Linked DNA regions of Lepisosteus oculatus. The protein of the gene in region 4 purifies or fractionates together with the protein of the main gene of each other region. This does not show direct contact. Links are inferred from orthologs where the notes say so. Each region holds a gene or a part of one and is shown on either strand. Other genes may lie near its edges. The genes, in order: ctdp1, lsm4, gar1 and wdr77.

Region 1 (7,923 bases), on a different chromosome or scaffold from region 4:
GGTCAATGCAGTGGATGGCTTCTGAATCAACAGAGCAGCACGACCCAGAGGACAGAAGTGGAAACTATGTGTAAATACATTTAAACCCGAGAACTGGAGGCACTTCTTTACACAAAGAGTGGAGGGAGTGTGGAATCAGCTGCCCCATCATGTTGTTGAAGCCGATACTAATTACCAAACGGACAGGATGACCTCTTATTTATAACCGTTCTCATGATATTAGCATTATCATTTACAGACTTTGAATTTAACTTCATAACACCCCTCCCTAACCTATACGTTCCCTGCTACATTTGCTTACTGACCATCTCTAGTGAATAATCCAGTGTTTAGTTTATTCCATCTGACTTCTTAATCACAGACTGATCAATCTTCTAGTTGAGGTAAACTTTCATGTCTCAAAACACTGTACCAACTGTACTAAAACCTCTACCAATTTCTAAGGTTCAGATATCACCCCCATTCAGCTGTGTGGACTGGAATAATAACTGCTTACTTATATAGAGCTTTTCTGGACTCCACTCAAAGTTCTTTACAGGTAATGGGGACTCAGATGCAATGGCAGCCAGAGTAAGGCAGTATGCTCACCACACACCAGCTATTAGTGGGGAGGAGAACAGAGTCAAAGATGGGGATTATTAGGAGGTCATGACTGGTAAAGGCCAATGGGAAATTTGGCCAGGACACCCCAGTTAAACAACCCTACTCTTTTTAAGAAATACCCTGGGATTGTAATGACCACAGTCAGGACCTTGGCTTTATGTCTCATCTGAAGTACAGCACCTTTTTTTTTTTACTATACTGGGGCAATAAGAGCCCCACAGACTGCAGGGTGAGTGTCCCCTACTGACCCCACTGACACGTCTTCCAGCAGTAACCTTAGCTTTCCCAGGAGGTCTCCCATCCAGGTACCGGCCAGGCTCAGACCTGCTGAGCTCCAGTGAGTTGCAGGGCAATACAGCTACTGGAATGTAAGCAAGTGGACCTCAGCAGACAAGAAAAAAAAAACATTCAGTGTCACTCCCAACTGTCTGTGCATCAAACATCGATCACATATGAAGAACTATTCAGACAGAAAAAAAGGCACGAACTCTTAAGGGCTTTGTTCTGTATGCTGAGTATCCAACAGGTGTATTAAGTAACTAAGAACGTAATACATAAATATGTAAACACAAGTCTAAAAGAACAAGCAGATCAGCTCAATTGGGATGAAAGCAGGAGAGACAGGGAGCACCCAGGACCAGGGTTTGGGACCACTCACTGGAAAACAGCACGTCAATGAACCATTACAATCTCAATCTGAACAGCACCTAAGATTAGGACAGTAACAGCAGAGTTTGACAGAAGAACTAAGTGAATGATAAACCGCCCGGCTGTGCTTTAGCTCGACGCGGCAATGTTGACAGAATACTAAGTCACGTGACGCTGACAGCTCCAGCACGCGGCCCTGCCCCCCACCCCGTGAGCAGTTTCCACAGACGCTGCTATTGCGACTCGTCCTCTGCAAAACAAAATGCTCGTCGGTGGCAATTCGGGAAGACCCAAGCGTTGTTGCACTCCAAAACTCGGCACGAGTGGCAATCTGGGCTGGAAAAAACATAAACGGTGCCATTACCCCTTAAGAGCACGCGTACAAACACACCCCCTTTTCGTACAACAAGCAGCTACACACGTCTTGTGCAGTAGGCCTGGCGAAAACACTGCGCTGTGCGCTTTCCCTGGGCATTTAAAACGCGCCATCTAGATAAAAAAGACAATTGTAAGACCGTCTGCACTAACTTTAACTACGTCTCACGCACTAAGATGTTAAGGGGTTTGTCTTCGAAACGCAAGACGCGGCTCCAGACAACTTGAGCTTTTCTTATTTTCAATCTTGGACCACGAAGTTATAAGTTTTCAGTTAACTCAACACTCCCCGTACACTTCATCCACACTCGTACAGGAGAACAAGCCGCGCAGTTGCGTGATCTGATGATCACCCCGCTTTCTCTTTAAGCAACTTTTCTCCGGACTACATCAATTTGCAAGTGTGTTCCTACAAAGTTCTGCCCGTTTCGGACAGTTAGTTAAACCCCTGCAGCGCCTCGATACATCAACACGAGCACGAACACTCATTTTCTGCAAAGCATGACTACTGAGCGCCGCTTTCTACCCGCAATCCCCCTCATGTCCCCCCAGCCCACAACTGACCACTTACCCCGGAGAAACGACCTGTCCGAGCTGACAGCAGAGCTCTCTGACCACGCCGGCCCGGTCCGATTTCACCTTCTTCTCCGTCGACCGAGTCGGCGGCCCCTGGGGCTCTGCTCCGGCCTCCCTCTCCACCGGGAGCGGGGCGCACAGCGCCAGGACGGAGTCGATATTCACATACGATCCCGGCTTTACCTTCCACTCCAGCAGCCGCAGGGGACGGGCCCCCGCCGGGCAGCGGATCTCCGTCACCTGCTTAGAGGGGCCCGCAAGAGCTGCGGTACCACCGCCGGAGTCTGCCGGGTCCTCCATCCGTGTCGCACCCCCAGATCCCTCCAAACTTTAGCCGAGAAGGCGATGCGCCCTGAACCGCTGCAGATCGAATCGGAACTGCAGGCGGCTCTCTGCACTTTTAAAGAGACAGCAATCGGAAAGCGAAAAGTGGAAACCAGAGAGCAGCAGCAGATGAAACCAAAGCGTTCAGGTTCGCTCTTCCCGCTCGTCAACAGGAAACACAAGCCTCCGAGAGGCAGCAGGTTGCCGCACCGCTTCCGGGAGACGACGCCGCCGCCGTGGAGGAGGAGGCAGGGGGAAGCGCCTCACAGCAGCTCCGGCTCCGCGAAGCCGGGAAGGCACTATCATTAAGCACCTTATATTTTCGCCCAGTTCAGTATGACGTTTTTAAATGGGATAGCGATTTGGTACAGAGTAGGTCTTTTTTTTACAGCTGTACAGATATTTTTTTTTATCCTGCTAGTGGACGTGCGTCGAAATATTAAGAATAGTGCTAGGTTTTGGGGGCATTAAATAGGTATAATAGTGTGCCAAACATAATCCACAATTGCTGTGTAATTTCGTTTACTTTTCAGGACTTGGAGTAAGCTTTGGCAACAAAACTGTAATTATGATGCAAGGTGATGTAACAGCGTGATACTGAATCCCCTGGTGCTCCAGGTGCTGAGGTAGGCGGCGGTAGGACCGGGCTTGCTGCGGGAGGACAAGGTGTATGCTCACGGCCTGGCACCTGTTTAAATCTTGGTCCTGGAATTGGACAGTAATTCAGTAATTCAGATATCATCCATAGTTTCTGAGAGAAAAAACAACTTCGCGGTTACTGGAGTTAAAATTATTTTACCACTTTTTGCTATACAAAGTTACCCTGTCTTTTAAAACGGTATTAGTCGTATTAATCATCGTGAAATGTTGACATACTGCCCAATTTGACAGTTGAATTTGATGCTAAGCCCCTTGGTGACAGTTTGCCTCTTAAAAAAGAGCATAATACAGTATTCTTTGTTAGTGTCTTGCTTTATGTAATGTATATTGTTCCTGGTCTTAAATTAATTCATATTTTAACCTACTGGTAATAATGAAAAAACGATGAGCTGTTACACTTATCTATGTAAGCATCCTTATTTGTTAGAACAAATGTTGATGACGGCCGTGAAGCTTAAACATATTCATTACATTCAGTTAGTTTACCTGTTTGTTGAAATGAAATATTTTGGTCTTCAAAAGTATTGCATTATAAAGAAAGAATAAAGGTTCTCAATGTCTTATTGACAGTAATCATTCTGAAATTTGTGAATGTCTGTGAGTCGACACATCTGTTGCTAGGAGACAATGACTTAAGACGCCTATGATGGGGTGTTTGAGGCTCCTCCTACTGTTACAGAATGACCTGTATTCTGGCCTGTTATAGAGAATAAATGAGTCAAGTATACATATGATGCTAATAAAATAGGAGGATAAGCAGTTACTATAGAAACCATAAAGGAAATGCAGAAAGATTTATATAGAAAAGTCTGGGAAAACATTTGGCAGATAAGATCACTCTATTGGCCATATACAATTTATTGTATTAGGAATTTGTCTTTTCACATACTCCAACTTGCTCTCCATGGGACACATAGACAGGGAGAGAAGCTTGTGGTCAGAGTGCAGGGTCAGCCATTTATACAGTGCCCCTGGAGCAGTTGTGATTAAGGGACTTGCTCAGTGGCCCAAAGGCGTAGGATTTCTCTGCCAGCCATGGGATACAAACCGGTAACCTTCCAGCCAGAGGTGCAGATCCTTAGCCACAGAGCCACAGCACCACCCTAACATGTAATGTAAACAAGCAGAAACAGTTTGCATGTTCTCTAACCCTTAGCCCAAGCTTTACACATTTTAACGCGAGCTTTGACGTCATGAAACATGACATCTGTAAGGGCTCTTGCTGGCACATTTACTTCTTAGTAAACTGATTTTTAAAAAATTAATTATATGTTTTTTTCCAAATAAAATGGGTTCATTTTAAAGTACTTCACTGACAGTTATAAAGTCTCTTTTTGGCCCAGTATGGCCTCATTTTTAGAACCCAAAACCAATCCATCCCACCTGAGAGCAGCAGTTTGTCATATTCTGATTCGAAATAAACTGTAGATTAAAACCACCTCAGTGCGCTGTCCTTTTCTGCACCAAGTTTCTACCTATTACAAAAACGCTACCCTTAATAAATAAGGCCAGGGAGGAACGGTAATCACAAATCTATAGCTGATAAAGATTACACTATAAATACAGGCAGCGGTATTCTAAAAGGTGTATGGACCTCCTCCCTCGTTTATTTTGTGGCACCTTCACAAATTTAAAAACCCCAACCGGGAAGGAGAGCAGGAAGTCTTATCCCGTCCACGTGACGTGACGCGTAAATCAGCTGCCAGCTCCGGAGTCACGCTTTTATTTTGAAAGGTGCTGCCAAGCTAGCGTCGCTTAACGACGCTAGCTTCACGCTAGTCAGTCACCCCACGTGTCACATGACCCCAGTGCGTGTGTAAGGCGAGCCTGGCAATAGCGAGGGGAGGCGTCAGAGTCCTTGCTCGTTAACTATAGGCAAAGGGCGACTGGCAATCACAGCCTGCGTTTCCATATACTGTCCGGGCATAGACTGGTTTTACACATTGTTCTCCTTAGCGACATGGCCGGAGATACTTTCAGAGCGGTAAGCGAATGAACACAGTAAAGATCACTTCAAGGGTTTAGCGAGTTGCATTTTTGAAAGTGGTTGACAACTTTTTCAACGGGCAAGAAAAGAAATGCAGTCCGTAGTAGTGCCAAATGACGGCTTTCTCGTGACAAGTTCACTTTGCAAAATATTCTAAATTCTAGTGTCGTGCTTTTATGCGTGTGAGATTTCGCTGGTACCGAGACAGAACGGGTAGTATTTTTTTTCGGTGCAGTTTTATGAATATTAAAAAGGGATAATGGGTGTCAGTTGGAAGACGCAGTCTTCAAGTGAGGTTAGTCTTTGATAGTGCTGGTGTAATGACAGCAAGAACAATTATTCGCAAAGCTCCCAGTTCACAGTTGCACGCTGTATTGATCATGCCAAATGCATCAGTCTGTAGCAGACGAAAGGGTAATTAAGAATTAACTGTCTTCCCCTTTAATATTTCTGATGTACCATAAATTAATGTATATGTAGAATACAATATTCCAACCACGTTAATACGTCAAATTGGTTACTGTTTTTACCATCATTGTAGTGTTACCGCATGTCTTATTGCTCTGCTGTTCACCCATTTAACTGTTAATGCGGAAACAGCACTGGTCGCGTTAGTTATTATTACCAGCCTTTAGAAAGGAACAATCCCCGGGAATCTTTTTTAATAACATAAGGTGTGGAATAAACGATCGTCGGTCTTTTTTGCTTGCTGACTTGAAGCTAATAGAACCTTATCTGTCCCCTCCAGCTTCAATACATGGCTTAGGGCAAGTTACAAGCTGCCTTGTGTCGAAACTCTTACAAGGGTGAATGTCAGTGAAGAGACAAGGAGAAAAAAGGGCTGTCCTTCCTTTCGCTTACACTTTCAGCTTTCTCCCAGTTTCTCCCCTTCATATCGGCTCTTTCAGAATGAGACAGATCCCACTGTCTCGGGTCAGGTCCCTGACACTGAAGCGCTATCTTTAAATCATCTGGTTTGTAACAAGATGTTCTCTTAAACTGCTAATAAAAACAACTGTGCCTCTGAATGGACACCAGCAGCCTTGATTTAGCAGTTGCTCTCTACCGTGCCGCTTCTAAAAACATTTCACCCTGTTTGCATGAAAAAGAAAGCCCTTCATCATCTGATTACTGTGCCCATTTATGGGTGTGGTGCTCTGCATAATGGGATTTGCAAAGTTTAAAACTCGGAAACCTTAACTGTCCTCAAGGGCTTTTGATCATAGGGAATTGGTCCAGGATATTTTCATCAGGTTGAATTGAAAAGGATCTCTGAGAGCAAGAATTTCTCTAAAAAAACACCCCTATATTGTTGGCAGTGTTAAGATATTGCTCGCTCTGGTGTAATGTGTATTGTTGTGCTTTGTGAATTGTTTTGGTTTTTTTTTTAAAAAAAACAGTTTGGTCTGGTGTTCCAGCACACAGAAAGACGTCTGGCTCTGGATTAAGTGGCTCTATGTTTTTGTGTCCTGCAGTTGCGGCTGTGTCAGCGCCACTGGGCACTGTTGCACCACAACCCAGGCTCTGCCCCACTGGCCCATCTGAGCTCCTGGTCTGCAAGGTGATGTATACCGTCTGCTGGCAAGATGTTTCTGGAGGAGAGTGGATTGTGTGTACTGTCCTAGCAACAGGCGTCCTCGGAAACGGCACCTGGACAGAAACTTCAGAACTGGAGCGGTAGATGGTAACGGCTGATGTGTCTCCCCAGGCCGATGAGGAGAAGGGGTTTTCTGAAGAAGGTGCTAGTGGGCGCTGCGGCAGGCGTGCCGCTGGTCTTGGGAGTGCAGTACGCCCTGTCAGGGCCGCGGGAGAGACGCAGGATGAGAATCTTGTTTGAAGGGCTGGGCCGTTTTGGCAGGTGTGTTTGTGGTTTGGTTTTTTTTCACATTTGCCTGCTGGATGGCTTGAAATGTTTCGTGCATTTTGGGTTGCCAACTTTCACCGCTCGATTCTCCAGAAACTGGCAGCTTTTAGGCTCGGTTATCTGATGCTAAAATAAGCCCCAGTATCTGGAGTGAAGCTCTATTACAAGTTCGGACTTCCAGGAAAAATGATGCAGATAAAAACGATGGAGGAGTCTGTTCTTTGGATATTCAAAGAAGGGAGTGGTTTTAGTAATTGCAAATGGTCTGGCTTACTGTATTGGGTGAGGCTGTAGGAACTATTCATGTACTTAGCTTACAGCTGTCTCTTCAATAACTTTCCTCAATCTTTTTTTTTTTAGCAAGTACATATTAAGATGAATATGGAAGACAAGGCAGTGTTGTGAGGCCCAGTGTATCATTTCCAAAGGGCAAAGTTTGACATGTTGTGTAAATACACAATTCACTGCTGGGTGTCCTCAGATGGTGGCCTCAGAATTGGGGATGGGGGACTACTGTATTGTATTCACAGTGCTTGACTGTTCTGAACTGAAGAATCGTGTTTGTGATCATGCAGGTCACTGTGTGTTGGATTGACGATTTCCCTTGATTACTGGTGGACCTCAAACGTCAGCCTGCAGGGGCTGGATGAGGTAAATTTTGAACACGGTAAATGTGAGCACGCCTAAGACAAAATAACAAAATGGGCTGTATAAACTGAAATCCTAAAATATATTTTTTTAGAATGAGCTTTGCTTTACTCACACCCCTATACAGTGAGGATGTATTTCTGAGTACATCTAGGATGATGGATGGGAGACTGCCAGAAGACAGAGTAAATTTCAATAAAAGACATTCAGTTCTGTTTACGTGTGACTACAGTATTCT
Region 2 (7,082 bases), on a different chromosome or scaffold from region 4:
AATCCGTGCAACAATGACTGATCTGCTTTTACAATAATCTTTTCTCACATTTGATTGGCACTTTGCACTTTTTTGCCATTTTCCCAGGGTAAAGCAAGATGTGCGATTGTAGCCAAGTATGAATTCAGAATTAAGTTCTGTATGATTACATTGATAGCAATATACTGTATAATAGCATATGGGTAATTACATGCATATATACATACATATGTGATAATTAAAGGCAGCAAAAGGTTTTTATATTTTACTAAGGCAGGAAAGTTGGTGTGTTCTTTAGGGAAAGAAATTGTAACCAAGGGGACTGCTGACCGTGAAATATACTCGCTTTGCTTCCAGTCTCTAACAGATGTGAACTTTTTTTTGTATGTTTTTATTAATGAGAACACAAATCATTCTCATCTCCCATTCCAGTGATCACACAAACTGGCCCTGGATGGGTAGGAGACAGTGAATCACATCTAAATGTCAGGTTCATGCATTACAATATTAGCTCTAAAGGTTTTGGCTTAAATCACTTGCCGATTCCTAATTTGTCCTAAAGGAGGACCCCCCCACAAAGTGTAATAAAGCGGGCAAAAAAAAAAACCAATATTTTTTATAATCGAGATCTCACATGCTCTGGTGTCGATTGCTCATGTTTTCCCAAGAAGCCCCAGGTCACTGGGTGGTATTTAGAAAGTAAATGATTCAGGTTTAGTAATGATTTAATTAATGAACTTGGGTCTGGACCACAGCTATACTGTAGGGAGCTACCGTCTTCCTATTAAAAAAAAAAGCAATATTTTTAATCACTGAATATGGATAGAATATAATCCCCATGTTTGCATGGATTACCTCCAGGTACTCCTGTTTTCTCTCCGTCCAGACACATACTGGCAGGTTAATTGGCTTCAGGGAAAGTGGCCCAGGTGTGGGTGTCTGCTGGTCTCTTTGTGCCCCATCGCTTGCCAGAAGAAACTGGGGCTCCCCTGCCACTCTGAATTGGACAAGGAGGTTGGAAGAGGGAGTGATGGAGGATGAAAGTTCATACTTTAATGCAGTTGTTGCTAACCCTGGTCCTGAGCTACTCCTGTGTCTGCTGGTTTTCATTCCAGCTGAGCCGTTTCATCACTGATGCAAGTTGATGCCTTTAATTGACCCGTTTGCTCAGTCCTTTCTTTACCTGTTTTTGTGTGCAGTCCTTGTTTTGAACAAACCCTTCTTGAAGCGTATTGTTCCAGCAATAGATTTGTTTGCAACTTTATGCCGTTTGTCCTCAACTAGATCATTAGGAAATGGCTAATGTATTTCTGTTAAAACAGTTTGGAACAAGTTTTATGTAAGTAAGGTTTGTGTTGAACACTATATCAGACACAACCACAGTGAGAATTTCTGTCCGTCTCCTGCAGGGGTCAAGCTGGTTACATTTCAGCTAACACACACGAGTCGTGGGAGTTCTGACTTGCAGCAATTGGCCCAAGGTGATCTTAGTTAGAAATCCCATCCAACATTTTAAGGGCTGAAAAATGATTTTAAAACCTGCCTCATTTAGAGGATTGAAAGATATTCGACTTGAATAAAAGCCAGAACAAACGGGGTTCCCTTATCACCAGGGTTGGAAACCACTTCTTCAACGAGATAATTTTGTGCTTACAATTAAAAAAAAAAAAAGCTATTTTTAGCATTTGTACAATAAAACCAAATTGATTACAATAGCAACATTACTTGTACAAATAATAACCTAAATGGATGCTTTAGGTACAGTATTAACCTTTTATGGTATTTACGATAATGGAAAGGGTGCTCTCTAAAATAAGGCTCAGTAGCAAACTCGCCGACATCTCACATATCCACCAGTCTGACGTTTCATTAATCAAAGGAGTGGCATTTTAATGGTCTTAAAAATTTAGAAGACATCTTTGAGTTATTCATACAACTCTTCAAAGGGCGTTTATTTCTCAACTTCAGGAAGGCCACGATATGCACATGGGGTCATGGAACAGTCACCGGAATAAGACATAAGGAGTGGAATAAACACTGATAAACATTACCAACTCTGTGATCAACGTGCAGAAGCTTGTTCAGGACAGAATATTGATTACTGGGGTGCTTGGAGCAGCCACAGCACTGATAGACAGTGACCTTTCCAGCAAGCCACAGGAGAGTTTGAGAATATACAGAACAGAACAAATGAACCACAGATATGCTTTCTTACCGCGTGCTGGCAAATAGGGTTTCAGAACATGGAGGGGGGGTAATGACTGTAGGTTTTTGTATATATTGGCAAAGGTTATCCACTCCAATCGAACATCAATCCTTCCTTCAAAAATCTCTCTCTACAACCAAATACTCTCTGTCTCTCAGCCAGTGTGCAAGGTATTATTTATATTCTAATGTGGTAGAGGTATGTGAAAGATATTTAGGTAACAAGACTCCCAGATGGAACTGCTCCCATATAGTCAACTAGCCACTGCAACAAATCACGATATAGGGAATGCGACTACTATTGCAAAATGGTCACTGGCTATTAAATATAACTTGTGACAGATCTCCCCCCCGTTTTGATGGTAACGAAGGGTGAGGAATGTGTACACTTACCTTCGTGTAAATTAAAATGAGGCGGGGTGGACGGACACCACTCGTATCCCATTCAGTATAGCCTGGTCATCTGTACTGCCCTCCGACATGCACACGCGCCGTTATCTCGGGGAGAAAAAGATTTTTTCTCATCCTGCACAAACATGCAACACATAAGGACTAAGGATGAATGGAGTCTTTGTGCGTTTTCTTTCGGGTTCCTCCGTCTTCTTTAAAGATAACTTAAGCTTTCATTCACGTGGTATTTTTTTTTTTAATTACCCCAATCCCTAGCAAACACATTAAATACAACCTTTGACACTAGTAACCTGAAATCTCCTTTTGAGATTAGGAGTGTAACCTGCAGCCCACCCTACAAGACTGCATTAACCCATACTTGACTCCTGAAAGCGTGATAATGTCGGCCAGCAATGACATTAATCAGGCTCACCTTATCAACAAAAATCTCACGAAATTTGCTTTTCATTGTCATTTCGTCGGCACAGAACCTATTTTTAATTTCAGGTCTGCTGCTCTTGAAAAAACTGAAGCCGCCATTTGCGCGATCTGTCGCTTAAAAAACGCCACGAAATATTTAAATGCTTTAGGTCTGTGTCCTAATTTAAAGAATAACTGAATTCATTCCTCAACTCTACACAGCTGTGCATTTGACAATGTTTATTCTAAACAAGCTGAAATGAAATGATTAGGAATTGCTATATCAGTAGTCCTGTCCTGTATAGGATGCGCCTATCACCAGAACAATAAGCATTCTGATGATAGGTTCGGAAACACGAATAATAGAAAACTATTGAATATTAATAGCAGATCAAAGGTACAAAGAGAAAAATATGTGGACATAGTTGTTCCAAAGCAGAAGATTTGTATGCCTCGCTGAATCATGATTAATGTTCCCTTATTAAACACCTTTAAATTATTTCGATAAATCTAATTAAACTCGTTACTAATAAAATCTGAACAATTTAATGCTGTCATGCTAACCGAGGGATGTGAGCTGTTGAGCTCGAAGTTTTGGTGGGGACCTTTTAACTGAATTGGCAGAGGGCCTAGTTAAATATCGAGGACTACGTGTGATATCACATCCTAAATCACATGTTCACATGGGGGTCTGGATGTCTCCAAATGTGATTTTTCGTAGGGACATCTTCAGATCTATTACGTCTGTCAAAAACACACTTAATACATTATTTTAGAAAAGGTAATCGCTTCCATCATCATATATATATATTACATATTCTTTCTTTTTCACACTGAAATATATATTTTTCTAAAGTTCCTTTGCTAGCTTTGTAATATACTCTTCCGCGTGTTCACTCTGCAGAACAGAAGGAGGATGCGAGCATGTTTTTACGACAGAAGCATACTTTACGGCAAACTGTACAAATCAATTGGCGGCAAATTGTTATCTCAAACTAACTATAGCATTCCAACGAAGAACCCTCCTTCGCTTCCTTTTGATTGGCTTATTTTACTCTTCACTCGCGTTTTTGAGGTATGATTGGAGAGTACAGTTATCCCTCATGGTTGTATGATTAACAGGCTGGGTTAACACAGTGAAGCAAAAATTATAAAAGGAAGCAGAAAGAGAATGGTGAGTTTTGCGTTTTGTGTACGAGGTTTGGGGGTTTATAGGTACTTATAGGTATTTTTATAGGCACTTTTACGGGAAAGGGAGGAGATAATTATTAAAATGCGGAAACGTGTGTTTACATCGCCCTTCACAGCGAGTAGATGCGATACTTAGAGGTTTAACTCGTATACCCGCATTAACAAGTACATTGCTTAACTTTACATTATCTGCAGAGGAAAACGCTTAGTTAATTCCATAGTCGCAGAAATGGTAGTTTTCATCGTAAGTTTCGTGCTCAGAGGTAACTAAATGTCTGTCATTCGTTAACATAAATCTCAAACAACGTGCCGCAACAGCAATTTAACATGAAATGCGAGTCCTGCGATGTTACCTATACACGTGTGTTACACGGCCTGCAGCTCTTCTTGAGTCTCTCGTTTGCGTTTACATTTTCCCCGTGTGACGAGCAGATTCGTACTGGTCCTCTGAATGTCTCTAACATCTCGTGTCCAAGTACATGATGTAACCGATTTTCAATTACAGTTAAATCTCTGGATAGACAAGTTAACCATTAGTCAAAACGTATATTCTGTTACCAGTGCGTTGAAAGTCAAATCTCTTAAAAATCTCTTTAAATCACTCTTTAGTGCTGTTAAAAAAACGGATATATGATTCACATTTCGTTATAGCTTGTGGTTTCTGCATAAATAATTATTTACAATATCAAGAGACTTACTCTTGGTCTAGACCTGAGGATAGCTGGCTTTAATTTTGCTAAGCCAGATGCTGCATTTTGCAGTGTTAGCATATAACTAACTGCATTTCCACTGTGTTCTGGCCCTGTTAGTTATTAGCACAAGTGATATGAGGGCAGCTCCATGTCATCTAGGTTTCAAGGGGGTGGTCAGCACCTGTAATGTGTACAAGAGCCTAAGTGTTATTACTGAGCAGGGCTGGGCCTTATGATGGGAGTCCTCTAAGGATAACCAGGTTTCTGCTGTAAGTAATAATTGCTTACACTTGTATAGCGCTTTTCTGGACACTCCACTCAAAGCGCTTTACAGGTAATGGGGATCCCCTCCACTATGTAGGCTCCCTGTGCAGCATCCACCTGGATGATGCGACGGCAGCCATAGTGCGCTGGAACACTATTAGTGGGGAGGAGAGCAGAATAATGAAGCCAATTCATAGATGGGGATTATTAGGAGGCCGTGATTGGTAAGGGCCAATGGGAAATTTGGTTACAACCCTACTCTTTAACCGGAATGCCCTGGGATTTTTAATGACCACAGAGAGTCAGGACCTCGGTTTTACGTCTCATCAGAAGTACAGTGCCTGCTTACAGTATAGTGTGCCCGTCACTATACTTGGGTATTAAGACCCAGATGGATCACAGGGTGAGCACCCCCTTCTGGCCCCACTAACACCTCTTCTAGCAGCACCCTTAGTTTTTCCCAGGAGGTCTCCATTCCAGATACTGGCCAGGCTCACTCCTGCTGAGCGTCAGTGGGCTGCCAGCTGGGAGTTGCAGAGTGATATGGCTGCTGGCCGAGTGTATTGAAAAAACAGACTTTTAGGGTTCTGAGTCACGTCTTTTCTTTTGTATTACTACTGTATTTCATAGAAAGTGGAATTTGTTAATTCTGCTCTTAAAAATATATTTTTTTGGTATCCATATCACAAAGTTTTCCTAAACCATTGTTGCTTTTCCAGCTGCCACTGTCATTGTTGAAGACTGCTCAGAATCACCCTATGGTAAGTAAGTGCGCATAAAATAATGCACTAATAAAATTACAGGGGCACCCTAATGAAAAAGGACATGAAATGTCTTTTACTCAGAACTGTTTTATCCGCTCAAGTTTTCTGCCAGCACCTGTAGCTTTTGATTTCCTATGTTTTACTCCTGTATTTAATGATTTCCTATTGAATGATTTCACCATGAAAAAACATCATGGTGAAAAGTATCAAGAGATCATATGGTTACATGTGTTGAACAGACAGAAAATGCTTTAAACAGTGTAAGAAATAGCTCTCATGGTCATATTGAGACAAATGAGCCTGTTGCTTTAGAGAAGGGTCCTGTATCCCCAGGCCTGTAGTGTGGGGTAGTGGTCAATGCTCTGGACTCCTGACAAGGAGTTAGAGGGTTGTGTGTTCAGAACCTAAGTGGTGATAAAGCTGCCAGACCCTTGAGTAAGGTACTTTACCCCGAGTGCTTTTGTGCAATAGATCTGTGTAAATCAAAAAGTAATTATAAACTCTCTCACACTGGATATAATTTGTATTCCAACATTTTTATAATAAAAATGTTTGAAAATGTGTTGTACTTTGTCGTCCGCTGTGCTATGCGTTTGTTTTTTGAATGAGATCTTTTCTTTTGTATTGCTCTTGTATTTTCTAACTGTTCAGAGCCCATCCTGACCCTTTTATTCTTGTTTCAAAGCTGGTGGAGCTGAAGAATGGGGAGACATACAACGGTCACCTAGTGAGCTGTGACAACTGGATGAACATCAACCTGAGAGAAGTCATCTGTACATCTAGGGTAGGACCTTTCTCATTGCTGTGTAGCGGGACTTGAAAGAGATGTCGTTAAATCTTTCGAAGTGTGTGACAGGTGGTGATGTATAGGTGCTGCAGAAGCTGAATTTGTACAGTTAAGGTACTGACCACTAGGTGGCTCTGTATGTTTAGAAAAGGAAATACTAGCTTTTCAGGAAAGCCCTTTAAAATCCTGATACTGTTATTCAGGTCTCCTCTGGTCTGATGAAAAGAGATGGAAGAGTTTTCACTGAAATCAAAGTAGACTTATAAGCCTGATGGAGATCAGTGTCTTAAGTGAGCTTAAGAATATAGCTTAAGAGAGTTATTGCCCTGGGTGAAACTGCAGCGGTGTGATAAAGACAAGAAGTTGTTTTTCGAACCTAACGAAGACTCC
Region 3 (7,386 bases), on a different chromosome or scaffold from region 4:
AAATGAACTAATTAAAATAATGAGGTATCCTGGAAGACTGGGATGCTACTATAAAGAACTAGAGCTATGTTAAACCAAAAAAAGCATGCATAAAAGCATGCCACTTATGACAGTAAATAGTATTTTTTTATAAGAGCTACAGGACAAGCTTAAAATAAGTAGCATGGTTGTCCATAAGCCATGTGGCAACTCTGAAATTATCAGGGCAGTTTTATCTGTATAATAAAAAATATACTGTGGTTGGGAAGGAAGTGCTGCTCAAAAAAGCCAACTGCAAAAACTCAATCATGCTTCTGCAAAAAAATAGCTTTTTCTTTTCTAATTTAATCCTACGAATTCCTATGGTTCACAGCTGCATACTTAAATTAAACCAGAAAAGAAATTAAGATAGCAATGCCCTTAAAACACGTCTACAAGACATTTTGACAAAGCAAATATTGACAATATGCATTGTGTTCTTCGATGTACCATAACAGAGTTGATATAATGTACCCAAGTGGTGTGTTATATTACTTTTTTTGACTGGTTTTAAAATGGTCCACATAGACTTCAGTTCTAAATGTTATAAGAAACGATAATATATGGAAGAAATACTTCATCCTTTTGTAAGACCAGCGGTCTTCATATTTCATATAATGTCAAAGCTAAGTGTAACTGTATTTTTTTGTTCCCAACCAAGCAAATACCTTTTTAAAAGAAAGCACCTAATTCATAAAGATTTTTATAAAAGGTGACATTCCTTCATTTTGTAACTCAATCTCTTAACATGTAATATTTACATTTCTACAACCGGGTCTGCCAAATTAATTATTTTGCTAGTTATCTTCAAAATAATAAACAGCGACTGTGTACATCTCAGTAAACCCTACACAGAATAATATTTAGGTCTACAGTCAACGATAAAGTTTCTTTACCAACAACATATTCTGGAGGTCCAAAATCTTGTCTGTTGAAGCCTCCTCGGCCACCACCTCGAAATCCTCCCCCACCGCCCCGGCCCCCAAAACCTCCTCGTCCACCTCGATTAAACCCCCCTCCTCTGCCGCCTCGGCCACCTCCTCCACGGAAAGACATTGCTAGAAGAAAACAGACAACAGTTCATGAGGAGTAAGGACTTTCTCCCACTGGCCTTTTGGTCAGTGTTGTATCTGCAACACAAAAAAACGTATTTTGCTCAAATATAAACAGCAGACGTCCAAAGAGCTGGGATGTATCCTGGTTTCTGTAGTATTGAAGGATACATCAGTAGTTAAGGAACAAAAGCTACAATCAAAACCGTACAGTCTCACATTTGCATACAGCAACATCGACATGATACATAAGTGTTATAATTATTCATCAGAGCATCATTTTTTATTTATTCAAAGCATGACAAGACATTTATTATATTATTTATGACATTCGGGCACTTAGATCATTTACTTACATTACTATACTAAACAGACCCACTTACTGCCATTTGAGCAACTCACAAAACATTTCTGATCCTCCTGTTTTGCACAAGAAAAAAAAAATTAAAGTGAAATTTAAGCCCTGGCCTCCTAAACGTCGACTGCAAAATGCAGTGTTCCATTAAGTTAAAAGAGTTTTGTGTTTTTTTAGAATGTGTGACCTAGATTTCGTGATCCCACCTTGGTTGACCATCTTGGCTCTTAAACGTTACTCCAACAATTAAATGCTTCAACAGGTAAAAGCATATTTTACCTCAATTTCCAATTGAGAACTACCAATTGTGAATAACTAGGAATGAGACAAACTTCCCTAAAACCTGTCTCTCTGCAGAGCAATCTGACGCAATGTGGTCTGCCTTATCCTACCGAAGAGTTAAAACTCATTAAAATCAAGGAGTTACTTTCTGCTTGAAAACCGAGACCGAGTTGATCAATTAATCCTAATCCTCCCCTGGAAGTGCTCAATCACCAATTCCACAATTATGTGAATCTTTCTTTTCTAAAGTTCCTTGTGGGAACGTCTTCTAACACTATTGAAAACAAAAACGGTTAATTAAATTTTAAAAACCTACAGCTATACTCCACCAGATTAGGGTATGATGCATAAGAGTATTAATAATATTCTTAATTAGTATAAAAAGTATAACATTAATTCATATTATGATGTGTCATTGAGAAAGTGGGCTGATAAGACAGCATTTTGGGTAAAACCAAATTACAACAGAATAAGATACAAAAAAAAACCCGTCTGATACTAGCTTGCTCGGCAAATTGAAACTTCATTGAAATGATTAATCTGACACAGTTTGACCAGCTTTTTGTAACAACCTCATATCCTGACTGCAGTTTTTTTTTATATAAATGGGTACTAGTACCAGAATTGACTTTCACTTAATAATACATAAATGAAAGAAAACAGTACTACTCCCTTTTAGCTCAACTACTGTTCATGCTTCGCATGAATTTTGGATTCGCGGGGGAAAAAAATTAGAATCGGGTGAGATCGCAACAAAACTTACACTTTAGCTTTCAGTGGACAAAGCACATGTTCCAAAATGGTAATGAATAAGATGGAGCCACTTTATTATGCCACACTGAACTGAAGTGCGTTGCTCATTGAAATTAATCGACATTACTTTTTTCACGACGTTCACTTTGAAACCATGCATAAATATCTCCTTTAATTTAGGGGGAAGTGATGAAGACAAAAATGCCGATTAACTCTTAATATGTGATTGAACCAAAGCATACAATTATTTATGTAGAAATTAACGTAGGTATGAATTGTGAAGTAATTAAACTATAACCAAACTGTTCAGTTTTAGGTACTCCCCAAAGCAAACTGACTCATAAAATAGTTTGGAAAACTTCCTGGACTTTAACTAGACTATAAAGCATGACCCAATAAAAAATCATAAGCACATCTTAAAAAAAAAACATTTACCTCACCTTTATCTGAAATACCGCCTGCTCCCAAAATGCCCAATATGTTCTTTACACCACCACGCCGCGCTGATTTCCTACAACCACACGTGGCCTTTACCGTAAGTCAGTTGTAACCACAAGGATTCACACTGTCGTAAAATGCTTGTAATGCAAATAATCAGGAAATCCTATTTTGATGATCAAGCTCATAGTCACAGATACTGGAATCATTACAGCGTATTTGTCAAAACCTTAATCCTCAGTTGTTTATCTTTAGTTATAAACTAGATGTTCTTTTCATGTAACTCATAAGTATTTCACTTCTAATGATCTCTGTGATTTGCTGTACCGCTACTTGTAAAGCGCCCTGAGTGGAGTTTCCAGGAAAGCACTAAATAAGTGTGTAAGCAATTATTATTATTATTATTATTATTATTATTATTATTATTAAAAGGGTAACTGCAGGTAACAATGCTGGTTTAGTTGAGACCTTTATAACCATGTTTCCTGTTTCTTTTGTTTTTATATGTGAGGTGTACTGTAAAATTCCCATTTTATTTAATTCAGTATACTTTATAAATGTAGAAAAAACTAAAACAAGAATGCTCACATTTATGGGGAGGCACGGTACGATAGGAAACTCTTTACGTTTGTGACAGCGGAAGCTGTCAATTGTTGAAAGGTCAATTGTTAAAATACTTCCGTTTCTGTGTAAATATCATGTGATTTATTTCATTTTCTACAAACCTTCCGTAAAAATCTAGCAGAAGCAGGTAATATCGTCTTATTTTGCATTATAAGTCCAATTAGAGTATTCTGCCTTTGAACAGGTTATCGTATTTTTTTTCTTTTTTAAAAGGAATCATAGACACATTGTCTTTTCGTTTCCTTTTTATTTGGTTCAGCCGCTGAGGTCTCAGTTTGAAATTAATTTGTAGTAGAAATTAAAAGTAGGAGATAGGTCATCTAGCTTAAAAAGGTGACATATAGTGCCTCTAAATTATCCTATACATTTATCTTGACACTGATTTTGATAAAACGTTTATTCCTATTTCTTTATTAATTAAGTGTACGTTTAATTAACATTATACATAATTAATAATAATTAAACGTAAATGTTAATGCTCGTTGTCTTTGACATTAGAAGGAGAAGTGCTATCTATTTTTTCGTTCGGTCCATTCTGAAGCCCTAAATATTTTCTACCTCCTTCTCCAATAATATCAGACATTAATTTACTACTCATAAATTATAATATTTTTATTTTAAAATAATACTTATTTGACAGAGGTATTCCCAATAAATATAATATATAGTCTTATTTATTCTGGCCACTGGAACTAGTGGCAATTAAGTTGTTTTAATCTACAGTATCAGAAACATTCACACTTCCGTCTAAAAATTATATTATTTGCTGAAAGACGATTTAGTTTGAACGAGTGTTAAATTTGATGTTGGTGTCAAATGTAACTAAACTATCACATTTGAAACATTAAGAGATGTAGATTACTGTTATTTAGATTTGCAGTTTTATACATTTACAGTTTTATACATTTCCTTTAATAAAACAGAGTTTCATGCAAAAAAACTGGAGTTAGAAACATTTCTTGAAAAAAGTATGACACTTTCCAGTCCTTGCTCTTGTCCTTTCATCACAACATCTGATTTTAGTTGTTTTACTTTCTAGGTTTTTAACTTCTAATAAAAACACAGAAAATGGCAGATGTAAGTATTTACTGTATAAATTGTCTAAAAAATGTTGTATGTTAATGTTAGCAAACTGCAGATCTTTTTTTTTTTCCGTTGCTGCAGGATGTTAATTGAGAGAAGACAAACCGTTACCAGTGAATGTTGGAAAACAAATCTGATACTAATGGATACATATTTTCAATTTCCACTGTTGCATGAATCTTATCATTATGTTTTTCATGCAGTTCCTAACTTTGGGTGTAGGAACTGTAAGTGCATACAGTTGTATACAAATTGTAGCCTGAACAATTACTGTGTAACTTAAGTTGGGTTTAAAATATAACACATATTAGGACAGTTTGAAATACAGCAAAAACAAATATTTCTAAAATCATTGCAAATTGTCCTAAATATACAATATTAAAAACTATTCACCCTACAGCAATTAATATTTCTTTCATTTGCCTTTGGTGCTGATAATAATAAAAAATCACTTCCTGTAACCTTTTAATTTGTTCTGACAATATTTAAGTTAGATTTCTTACTGTTCTTCCATGCAGAACTTCTCCATCTCCCCCAAATTATGCTTCCTGCTCTAGCAAAATGCTTTATGTAGTACATTCTGTAGTACATTTCATAAATATTCTGCTGTCTAGTCATATGGAGGTCGTGTTGGTCAATCAAAAGCGGGATTAACACTAGATAAGGAGGTGTGATTTGGGAGCTCTTCAGTAAATAGGTGAAAAGTTCATTTACAGTTTTTATTTTTAGACAGAAGAATTACAACATTATGTCTTGATCTTATCAGATTTCAGAAGCTAAGCAGGTCAGTGCTGTTAAGGGTGATGTCCAGAGAAATTCAGGTTGCTGTTGTAAGTTGGTGTTGTTGGTAGAAACAGTAGGTGGCACTCTTCCCTTTTTTTTCCAAATCCTGTTCTAATGCCCCAGTATACTCCATTTCTCCAATACTCCATAAGAACAATGTAATTTTCATTGTGAAGCACTGTGGGTATTGCACTTCAGTGGTAATTCAAACAGGTGCTTATCTATATGTAGAAAACTTTGGGATAAAAAATTACTCAAATGAAAGGAAGAAATTGCTGTATTACTCAGACTTCATCAAGATCACTTCTAGAATCTCTTTCCACATTTCAGCTTTGAGACACTTCCAGGTGACCACAAAGCAATGCAATATTACATTTCTGGCCATCATCTTTAACAAGTGTTCATATTTTCATTTATTTATGTATATGGAATGTACCCTTTCAGTATTTTTAAACCAGCTTTGTTACATTGTGTGAAGGGTATAAAAGTGCTGTCTGTAACCACAAACCTTCTCATAATGGGAATGCACTAGTAAACAGCAGATCCCTCCAACAGCTATATCTGATTGTTTTTCACAGGAGCTGAAGAGGTATCTGTATAAGCAGTTGCCAAGGTTTGAAAACTTTAATTTGTTTTTTGCTATAGAGAAATCTATATTTAAGATATATCTAAAAGATATTTAAGAATCACTAGTGATGAAAGAGTGGTACAACATAAATGTTAGGTGCATTTTCTATGCAGTAGGGTCTCAATATTTGTGAGGGTTTGGCGCAGAGAAAATAGCAGAATTGCCATATAAGCAAGACCACCTTTATACTGTTATATAGTGCACTATTGCATATAGTATGTATGGTTAACAGACATGTGTTATCCCTCCCCTTATATGATGATTAAAGTACTAATGCAGTAGCGTTAAGTTAATTAAAATAACTAACACAATTGTAATCACAAAAATTGTAGAGATCAGTTAGCTTAATTTCTCCTCTATGTTCAGCAGATACCTGCACTTTTTTCTCTCTGCTTGATTGATGACCCACTGTAATGAAAAAGGCAGCTCTCAGTGAGCCTGTAAGGTCATCTCCAGCCTGTCAATCCCCACACCATAAATTCAACCAAGATATACTTAATAAAATATTACCAAGATGTTACTATAAAAAAACAAGGTGAGATGTGGATGTTGGGTAGTGGGTACTTGGGCAGGGGGAAGAGAAACACTCTCACAATCCTTGTCTGTTTTGCAACTAGTTTGAAAGTTGTGCTTAATAACCTCCGCCTCAGTTCTCTTCTTTCGTTACAAGAACTCTACCCCCAGACCAAACTGTGAAGAAGTGAAATTGCAAATGTTATATTCAGAAGTATCTAGACCCTGCCGTACTTTATTGCTTAATCATGGTTAAGCAAAGTGAACTGCAACATGTTTTTAAAATGTTTACACCGTTTTTAGACATTTTGTTTTTGTGGACTGGACTTTAGTTATCTGTTACTACAGACAAACAAAGGATTGTTTCACCCCCCCCCCCCCCTTTTGCCATGAATCAAGCACTAAAATATCAGTTTCCTTTAGAGGTAATAGATAATAGGTTGGAGAGTGTTTCCCAATGTGAAAGAGAAGTAAATACTTGGGTGTCAAAACCTCCTGGAAAATATCTATGACAACAGAAAATTGCCTTGACAAAAACACTAAAAAAATAGCTCATGGTTTATGACGTTTCCCTATAAAAAGGTAAAACTGTGCCAAAATTAATTATAAAGTTCTGGCATTTAAACTTTGGCCTATATGAAAACAGCACTTCCCCTTCCATGTTAAATTACACTAACATTTTCGATTCCTCCAGGAATCAGAAAACAGAGTTTTTAATTAATGGCCTACAAGTAGTTTGATATTGAAGTTAATTCCTTATGAACAAAATGATTCAACCTTTGCTCCTGATCCTTGTGCTTTATGGCAAAATTCTACTTTGATATATGTTGCTAAAGTTTTCCAAGATGTTACATATG
Region 4 (7,769 bases):
AGACAAACAGGAGGTCATATCCACTGTCCTAATATGGATGTCAACACTGCAAGTAAAAAAATCTGATTTACAGAGGTCTATTTCAAAGTTTTACTCTTTTATCAATTCCTACATTTCCATTTTTCTGCCACAACGCAGCACAATGGTCCTGCTCGATGGATTAAGGCCCAGCACAGGGCAGCAGGCACGAGCTCCTGGCTTTCAGAGAGCAGGCAGTGAAGAGCACACTGACCAGCAGTCCATGCTGCCACTGACCGCCTGTGTCCCCTGGGCCAGCGGGCTGACGGTAGTGACGATGTCGTCGTGGTGGTGGTGGCAGAACTTGCTGACGATCAGGGACTCGTCCTCAGCCAACTCCCACAGCTCCACCGCGCCTGGGACAACAGACAGGCAGACATGGAAGAGACCACAGTGTGTCAGCTCTCCACACACTCACAGCAGCACAGCAGTCGCCCCAGACACTTCAGTCATAGCAGGGATAACTAGTTCCCTCTCTCTCTCGTCACAGAAGCCCAGTTGGGTTCCCACTCCCTTACCAGAACATTAAGAGGACAATCGAACTATAACAAAACCTCAACCAGCCACTCACTGAATCATCAGCGCTCTCCTCGACAGAAACGACAGAACAAATCGCTTTCATGTTTCACTATCAGAACTGGCTTCAAGCTTCAGAGAGTAGGAAGATAATTTACAAGGGGGTGAAATTCTCCACTATATGGGGAATGAGATGCACCATCACTACTATATGGGGAATGAGAAGTAACAATGTAGCAGTTGCATTTTCAATTGCCATTTTCCTGCAAACCAACACTTCTTCAATTACCCCCCTAGCATTCACCAAACACCTTACCCCCTAGCGTTCACCTTCCTAACACTTAAGGCTGTTGCACCCAACAGTTTCACCCAATGAAGCCAATAACATATGGTATTTAAATATCAAATATATTATAACATACAAACAGATTTTCTCTTTGCTGGTTTAAAAGTAATACATTGCTTCTAGCCACCCTCCCATACACTCAGAGCACGACAAAGGCTGATCTCCAGTGCTGAGCCCAGCTGGCCCTGGTTACTGCTCTGCCACTCCAACCAGAACAACGAGGAAACTCACCGGAGTCCGAGCCCACGAGGATACTCCGCTCGGACACCCACTTCGCGTCCGCCACGCCGGCCTCGGTCTGCACCCCGGCGCTGCAGTGCCCCTCTTTCGGCGCCAGCTGGGGGTCCTTGAACACCCAGATGGAGCCCAGCCAGCAGCGCCCCATCAGGCTGGAGGCACTGAGCAGCAGGGAGCCATCTGGAGGAGAGAAAAACAAACGCCACAGCGTTCAGGGCAGAGGCACTCCAGGGAGAACTATCAGCCAGCTACTGTGGGAAAATGGGTCACTGCTCCACAAGGAAGAGCACACCAGCAGAAACTACGAGAAAGAGCATTTAAAATAGAGAAAGGGAGGCAATTCTTTAAGGCCAGCCACACAGCTGTGGTTTATTTCAAGAAATGGCTGGTAAAGACCCTCAGATTGATCGGGTTTCAGCAACCAAAAGCCTACATTTTCCAAATAAGTGTAACCTCTCTTATGTAGACGTACCAGGGAAAGGTTTAGTTCTGAGAAAGTACTGACGTCTACCTGCCTTGAGGCAATATCTCCTAATGGAAGCCACACTCCTTTACTAATAGAACAATTACGTTTTTAATTGATGTTTTATACCCAGATGCATCTGCCTAAGCACGTACTGAATTAAAGACAGGAAATGGACCTATCAATCCACTCCTCTGCCCGTAATCCCTTTCAGAGCACCCCTGTCTCCTCACTGTCCCGTTCTCAGCTGCCTGTAGCCTGCTGCCCTCTGTCCCTATCCCGTCACCTAGATATGCAACACCCCACAGTCCCCCCTTCTCCCCCCGGCACCCTGGGGGAGGAAACACCTAGCAAACAAAATGAGGTCTTTTTGTCTCAAAAAGAAGAAAAAGAAAGCCCTCCCCATCAACAGCTGACACGTTCCAAAATATAGGCTCTTCCGATTGCACTTATATCTGCGGTTATGCCCAGCTAGGAAGCAAATTTCTGTACCGGGCACTCGGATCGTACAAAAGCACTAGAACCACGCTCGTTTTCACACTACGCTGGCCGACACGACGGGACAGCTCTCCGGACCGCCGGGCGGGCCTGCGCAAACACAGCAGTCACGCTGTATGGCTTCTACCGCCGCCGACTACCCGGGTTTGTGGTCTCGCAGAGTTTTAACGAAAGATCGCATTCCGAGATAACCTGCGGCTCCTGCCAGATAGTAAGAGACATTGTGAACGGCGGCATAAACGTTCAGACACACGGCGGTTACTCGGTAATGTACAACAGGTTGCTACTACGAGAACTTTGATATCACTATGTTTCCTGTGCTCCTTCAATGCACAGTTGAACGGATAGCGTGGCTTTCATTAAAAATAAAACATACAGCCACTAATGGCATACGAAAACAGAGTGTCAGGTAAAACGTTATTTTGACCGGTTCACCGATACAATTAAAGACCCGAGATCAAACAGGCCACATGCACGCCATGTATAACCCACAGACGACACGCCAATTAAACACGTAATTAATGATTTACCTGCTCTGTACTGGACTGAGTCCAGATGTTTTTCCATGCAAGCCGGGGCATTGGGAGGTATTTTCCAGCGATTTTCCTTGATCATAGCTGTAGTATTCATTCACACGCGGCTGCTGCTGCTTATATCAATTAACACCAACGAACTGGATTTCCGTTCTTTACTCTCCTCGATTGCTCCTGGCTCCGGATTTTAGGTTCCACATACAACAAGGTGCCAAGCCCGATTTCCGAATCCACCTCCAGCAACCCTCTCCACTCCAGTCCTCCCTGCCGAAAAGGTGTCAACTTTACCCTGCTGACACGCTCACTCTCCTCTTTTTTCCCCCGATCCAGACCCGCGAATGAATGAGCCAGAACTGCCAAGGTCCATCCACCACGTGCTTCCGCTTCCAGGTCCCCCCTCTGCACCAGCCCTGCCTCCGCTGGCCTCGCTCTCGCGCGAGTACCGGTTGCTTGGTTACCATTTGATTTGCCGCCCCTTTCCGCATATAATCATCACAAAGTGCAGATAGAGTACTGCAGAGCTAACGTCGACCCTCTACAGGGTCTTATACAAATAAAACATGTCACGATTTTGATTTTTATTCCTAAAAACGATTAACTTGAATACTTATTATTTAAAAATGTTTATCCAAGAGTTTAGTTTCATGTATATTCCAAAGAATTACTGATCAAGTAAGCGCAACTGCGCCTGTACTTCCTAAGACGGTTGAGGAAGGCTAAGATATGTCCCCAGATCCTCACTAACTTTTACAGATGCACTCCAGAAAGCACACTGACAGGCTGCATCACAGTGTGGTATGGCAACTGCAGTGCTGCTGACCGCAAAGCCCTACAGCGGGTGGTGAAAACTGCCCAGTCCATCACTGGGGTTACCCTCCCATCTATCCAGGACATTTATGACAGCGGTGCTTGAGGAAAGCTCTAAGCATGATCAAAGACCCCACACACCCCAGCTACAGACTTTATGATCTGCTACCATCTGGAAAACGGTACCAGAGCATTCGGGCCCGGACTACCAGACTCAGAGAGAGTTTTTACCCCCGCACTATCAAACTGTTCAATTCCCAGCCTCTCTCACTCTCACTCTCACCTCACCTCTCACCTATGATCTGAACCTCACAGTGCCTTCTTCCTTTCTTTCTTTCTTACCAAAAACCCAAACACACATTGAAAATCTACCTCTACCATACATGTCAAAAGCTCACTCCCCATATTTTCTATCCCTTTATTTTATTCTGTTAATGCATATTTTTGCACATAACCTGTTACCTTTTTGTTGTTTAGCACATTGCCTGTTGTTGTTTTTTTGCACATCGTCTGTTGTTGTTTTTTGCACACTGCCTGTTGTCTCTGTCTTTCTTTTGCTACACAATTGTATTGTTGTTGTTGTTTTTTTCTCTTTGTATTACTTATGTCCAAGAGCTAGCTAAATAGCATTAAGTTATACCATATACCATGCTCATGTACAGTGAAAGATACATCATTTTTAAACACATTAGTAAATATTTTACCAAATTAATATTCATGTTATACACTTAATCAGTAATTCGGGAGTTAAGTGCTTTGTTCGCAGTGTGCATGAGTATAATGGACCATGTGGCGATATTTGTAACAATTATTTATCATTCTCAACTGTGTACTTTTACGTAACAATTTTGACAGTAATCGATCATGTGATAGACGAATCAATCTCGTTATGACAAGAATAACAGCTTCCCGTGCAGCCAGGCCTTTGAGCGATAAACAGCGGCATCCACCTGCTTTCGAAGTACGAAAAAACAAGTAATGTTCGGCGAATAGGCAGTTTTTCATCTGGTTATTGCATTTTAAACAATATGTTTAGCTTTTCAGATTTTTGAAGTTCCAAATAAAAGATTCATTATCAAATTACAGGGGCTAGGTATGCAACCACTTGGACTGAGAACTGATCAGTGAATATAAGACAGCAGAGATCACTGGGGGGATGTAATTAATGGAGTACCTGAGGGATCTGTACTTGGATTACTGCGGTTCCTAATTTGTATCAAGATTCTGGTATAGTCAGTGAACTATTGAAGTGTGAAGATGATAAAAAAAACCAGAAGAATTAATAAATACTGTAGAAGGACTTTTCTTAATGTAATTTAAGCCTGGGTTAACACCGGGCAGATAATGTTATTGTAGACAAGTGCAGAGTATTGTATGCCGGTTGCAAAAACGTAAATTATAGATACAAAATAGGAAACACTGAGCTTGAAAAGACATATGAAACTGCTTTAAGTATTTATATTGACACATCATTTACACCTCTTAGGCAAAGTGAGGAAACACAAACACAGAATATGTAGTTAAAAGCAATTTAAATCAATGGATATTATGGTACATTTGTATCATACACTAATAAGACCTAATTTAGAATATTATGTACTGATCTGGTCACCGCATTGCAAAGAGATAGTGACAGAGACAGTGCCATGTTTTTTGTTGCTGCAGTCTTTTGAATAAGATGTTAAACCAGGGTCCTGACTACAGTATGTGATGTCAATAGAGATCCCATGACACTGTCTGTAAAAGTAGAGCTTTTAACCCTTAATTTAAATTAACCCCAGTGCCCTGACTATATTCCACTATGGGCTGAATGATCTGGTCACAATTAAGTTCCTCCTTAGTTCAATTTCTTAATCAGTGTCTTATGTCTCTGTCTGATCTGTTGTGCAGTGGGGTTTGCTGGTACAAAATGGCTGTTACCCATCAGCCTAGTGGGTGGGAACTGTACTTATGTGTTAGCGTTTTTTGTAACTCAGGAAATGGTTTCAGTAAATGAGAATTAAATTAGAAAAAATGTCCATCCAGTTCCAGTCAGCCCATTTTTGAAGCTGATTGGTTCTACAGTGAGTTGGTTAACAAAACCATCCATCCATTTTCTAACTGCTTCTTCCAATTCAGTATTATGGGGCAGTCGGAGCCTAACCTGGCAAGCAGTGGGCAAAAGGTGGGGTACACCTTGGATGGGAGGCCAGTTCATCACAGAGCACACACAGATACACACACATACTCACTTGCACCAGGGCTAATTTCTCAGAAGCAAATTAACCTACCAGTATGTCTCTGGACTGCGTAAAGAAACCGGAGCACCTGGAGGAAACTGTATTGAACATGTAGATAACATACAAAACTCGAAACAGATATCACCTCAGGAGCAGGAGTAATGCTAAAAGCTGTGCCACAAGAAATTTGTCAACAAGCTGTAATCTTAGTGACCAAAGCCATGTAGTATTCCTGGTATCCACAAGAGAGCACCAAAGAACTGTTAATTTATCCTAACCCTCCCACCTTTGAAGCAGGCTTTCGACCTGAGTACATGTCAAGAGCTAGGGAAAAAAATGATATAACAAACACTTGAGGAACACGACGTGCAACTCAGAACTCCACTATGAAATGCAAATGAACCTGTATTTACTGGTGATGTATGCGTTGGGTTGCAATAGGTCACAGAGCTGCATTTTTATTCCTTTATTTGAAGAAGCAAATGTAATTCTACAAATCTGCATACTCAAGGTCACTGTGGAGTATTTTGAATTAAACAACACAAAGCTGGGACTGTTCAGTTTCCATGCCACGGCTAGCTGTCACAAGCTCACCCCTGAAAGTCTGTTGGTAATCCATTGCATTATTTTAATTGGAATAAGCTTCCTGTGTGCTGAGATAGACAGACAGATTTGGTGTGACCCACTGTTCACTGCTCTGTGATCAGCAGGCATTCGATTTTGCAGTTGATGTTGTCCATTTCCTTTGTGCAAATCTGGAGCTGACCTGTGTATAACCCTCAAAAAGAGTGCTTCTAGGGACAACAGGCGATGGTCAGTGAGAGGACAACGGGTCTCATTTTCAAGGCCTTTGACTTATACATGAACCAGCTGCTGTAGACAGCAGAAATAAACATAGTGTTGGCCTGTTTTCTTCTTAAAGAAATCTCTTTCTGGATTCTGTGTACTCTATTCCCAGTAACATAGGTGGTCTAATTATTTAATTAACTGCCTAATTGGAATACTACCAATCAGGTCCTGAGGTGTTCAATAGGTAATTGTGCATTTAATGAAGGTTTCGAGTAATTGACTGTAAAAGACCTTACAAATACCCTATACATGTGTGATATAATTCATTAAGAAAATAATTAGGTTAATTGTTTAATAGAATATTTAGGTTGGAAGAAAATTCTGAATACTCAGGCTAGAGGTATTTTACTATGACATCTGAATACTATGCTATTCCAAGTCTTTGCTCCAGCTTATCCTTAATTAATTAGTGATCTGCGTCACTGGGATTAGATAAGCAATTAAGGATCAGTTCAGTGTGTACCTACCATCCAGGGCTAACAAAACTACTTTTGAAGAGTTCAGTTGCACTGCTTTTCCCTGCTTTGTCTCTCTGATGGTGACTAGAAACAGTGCTATGTTTACACTGTTAGGAGGCTCTGCTGGATCGTTTAAGTCTGATCCATTTTTTAAAGACCCTGCATAGCATTCCTAACATTTATTTTCTTTCATTTAAAATAAACATTATGGATTTTCTGCTTAAAATCTCTTTTCGAATATCCCCAGTGGTTTCTTATGTAAAAGTGGGATGTGGATTGTGGAGGTAGGACATTCTGCTGGGACACTATTGTCCAAGTCCTTAAAAACTGCTTTTCTTTCTCTCTGCTTCTGTAGTTCTGAATCTCTCCCCATTGTTTGTGCTCAACCCTATAGCTGGACTCAACCACTGTGGAGATGACACTTGGTAAGAATGTTTTAATTCAGAATACGTAATCCTTGCTGTACTTATACACATGTTCTATAATACTGTTGACTTAATAATGAACAGTTCACTTATTTCCATCAGATTATTAACCTTTCTTGGGTGATCTATAATGTATTAACACTTTAATATACTGTATGTTAGGGCACTGTACCATTATAGTAAATTGTTGATATGAAGGTCTAAGCCACAGACAGTAAATAATACAATTATAAATGCATCAGTAATGTGCGCTTAACATGATAAGCCAGAAAAAGTCTTCCTTCCAGCTGCCAGTGAAGCTACACATACACACTCTTCAATAAACCTCATTTAAGCTTATGCAATGCTGTTTATCTAGTTGCTGGCTGCTTTCCACTGCCCTGTTGTCGAGTGGGTTGCT

The links.
Region 1: the proteins of wdr77 (region 4) and ctdp1 fractionate together in Homo sapiens (co-fractionation; 3 studies listed by BioGRID and IntAct, with this or other methods). This does not show direct contact. The link is inferred for Lepisosteus oculatus from reciprocal best matches to the Homo sapiens genes WDR77 and CTDP1.
Region 2: the proteins of wdr77 (region 4) and lsm4 purify together in Homo sapiens (affinity purification with mass spectrometry; 3 studies listed by BioGRID and IntAct, with this or other methods). This does not show direct contact. The link is inferred for Lepisosteus oculatus from reciprocal best matches to the Homo sapiens genes WDR77 and LSM4.
Region 3: the proteins of wdr77 (region 4) and gar1 purify together in Homo sapiens (affinity purification with mass spectrometry; 3 studies listed by BioGRID and IntAct, with this or other methods). This does not show direct contact. The link is inferred for Lepisosteus oculatus from reciprocal best matches to the Homo sapiens genes WDR77 and GAR1.

Annotation. Positions count from the first base shown.
Region 1 is NC_090705.1:15,799,247-15,807,169, reverse strand, and holds the start of ctdp1 (RNA polymerase II subunit A C-terminal domain phosphatase), read right to left. Parts: upstream 3,019-7,923; 5' UTR 2,503-3,018; coding exon 2,198-2,502; intron 1-2,197. Other genes in the region: adck5 (uncharacterized aarF domain-containing protein kinase 5), read left to right, coding at 5,147-5,170, 6,649-6,734, 6,882-7,031, 7,613-7,688. UniProt on the Homo sapiens protein: Processively dephosphorylates 'Ser-2' and 'Ser-5' of the heptad repeats YSPTSPS in the C-terminal domain of the largest RNA polymerase II subunit. This promotes the activity of RNA polymerase II.
Region 2 is NC_090724.1:3,861,277-3,868,358, reverse strand, and holds the start of lsm4 (U6 snRNA-associated Sm-like protein LSm4), read left to right. Parts: upstream 1-4,069; 5' UTR 4,070-4,165; coding exon 4,166-4,168; intron 4,169-5,860; coding exon 5,861-5,902; intron 5,903-6,590; coding exon 6,591-6,689; intron 6,690-7,082. UniProt on the Homo sapiens protein: Plays a role in pre-mRNA splicing as component of the U4/U6-U5 tri-snRNP complex that is involved in spliceosome assembly, and as component of the precatalytic spliceosome (spliceosome B complex).
Region 3 is NC_090696.1:56,886,798-56,894,183, reverse strand, and holds the start of gar1 (H/ACA ribonucleoprotein complex subunit 1), read right to left. Parts: upstream 3,003-7,386; 5' UTR 2,901-3,002; exon of another isoform or gene 2,896-2,900; intron 1,077-2,895; 5' UTR 1,075-1,076; coding exon 915-1,074; intron 1-914. Other genes in the region: ragulator complex protein LAMTOR3, read left to right, coding at 6,430-6,551. UniProt on the Homo sapiens protein: Required for ribosome biogenesis and telomere maintenance. Part of the H/ACA small nucleolar ribonucleoprotein (H/ACA snoRNP) complex, which catalyzes pseudouridylation of rRNA.
Region 4 is NC_090700.1:36,485,202-36,492,970, forward strand, and holds the start of wdr77 (methylosome protein WDR77), read right to left. Parts: upstream 3,014-7,769; 5' UTR 2,709-3,013; coding exon 2,609-2,708; intron 1,298-2,608; coding exon 1,112-1,297; intron 375-1,111; coding exon 233-374; intron 1-232. UniProt on the Homo sapiens protein: Non-catalytic component of the methylosome complex, composed of PRMT5, WDR77 and CLNS1A, which modifies specific arginines to dimethylarginines in several spliceosomal Sm proteins and histones.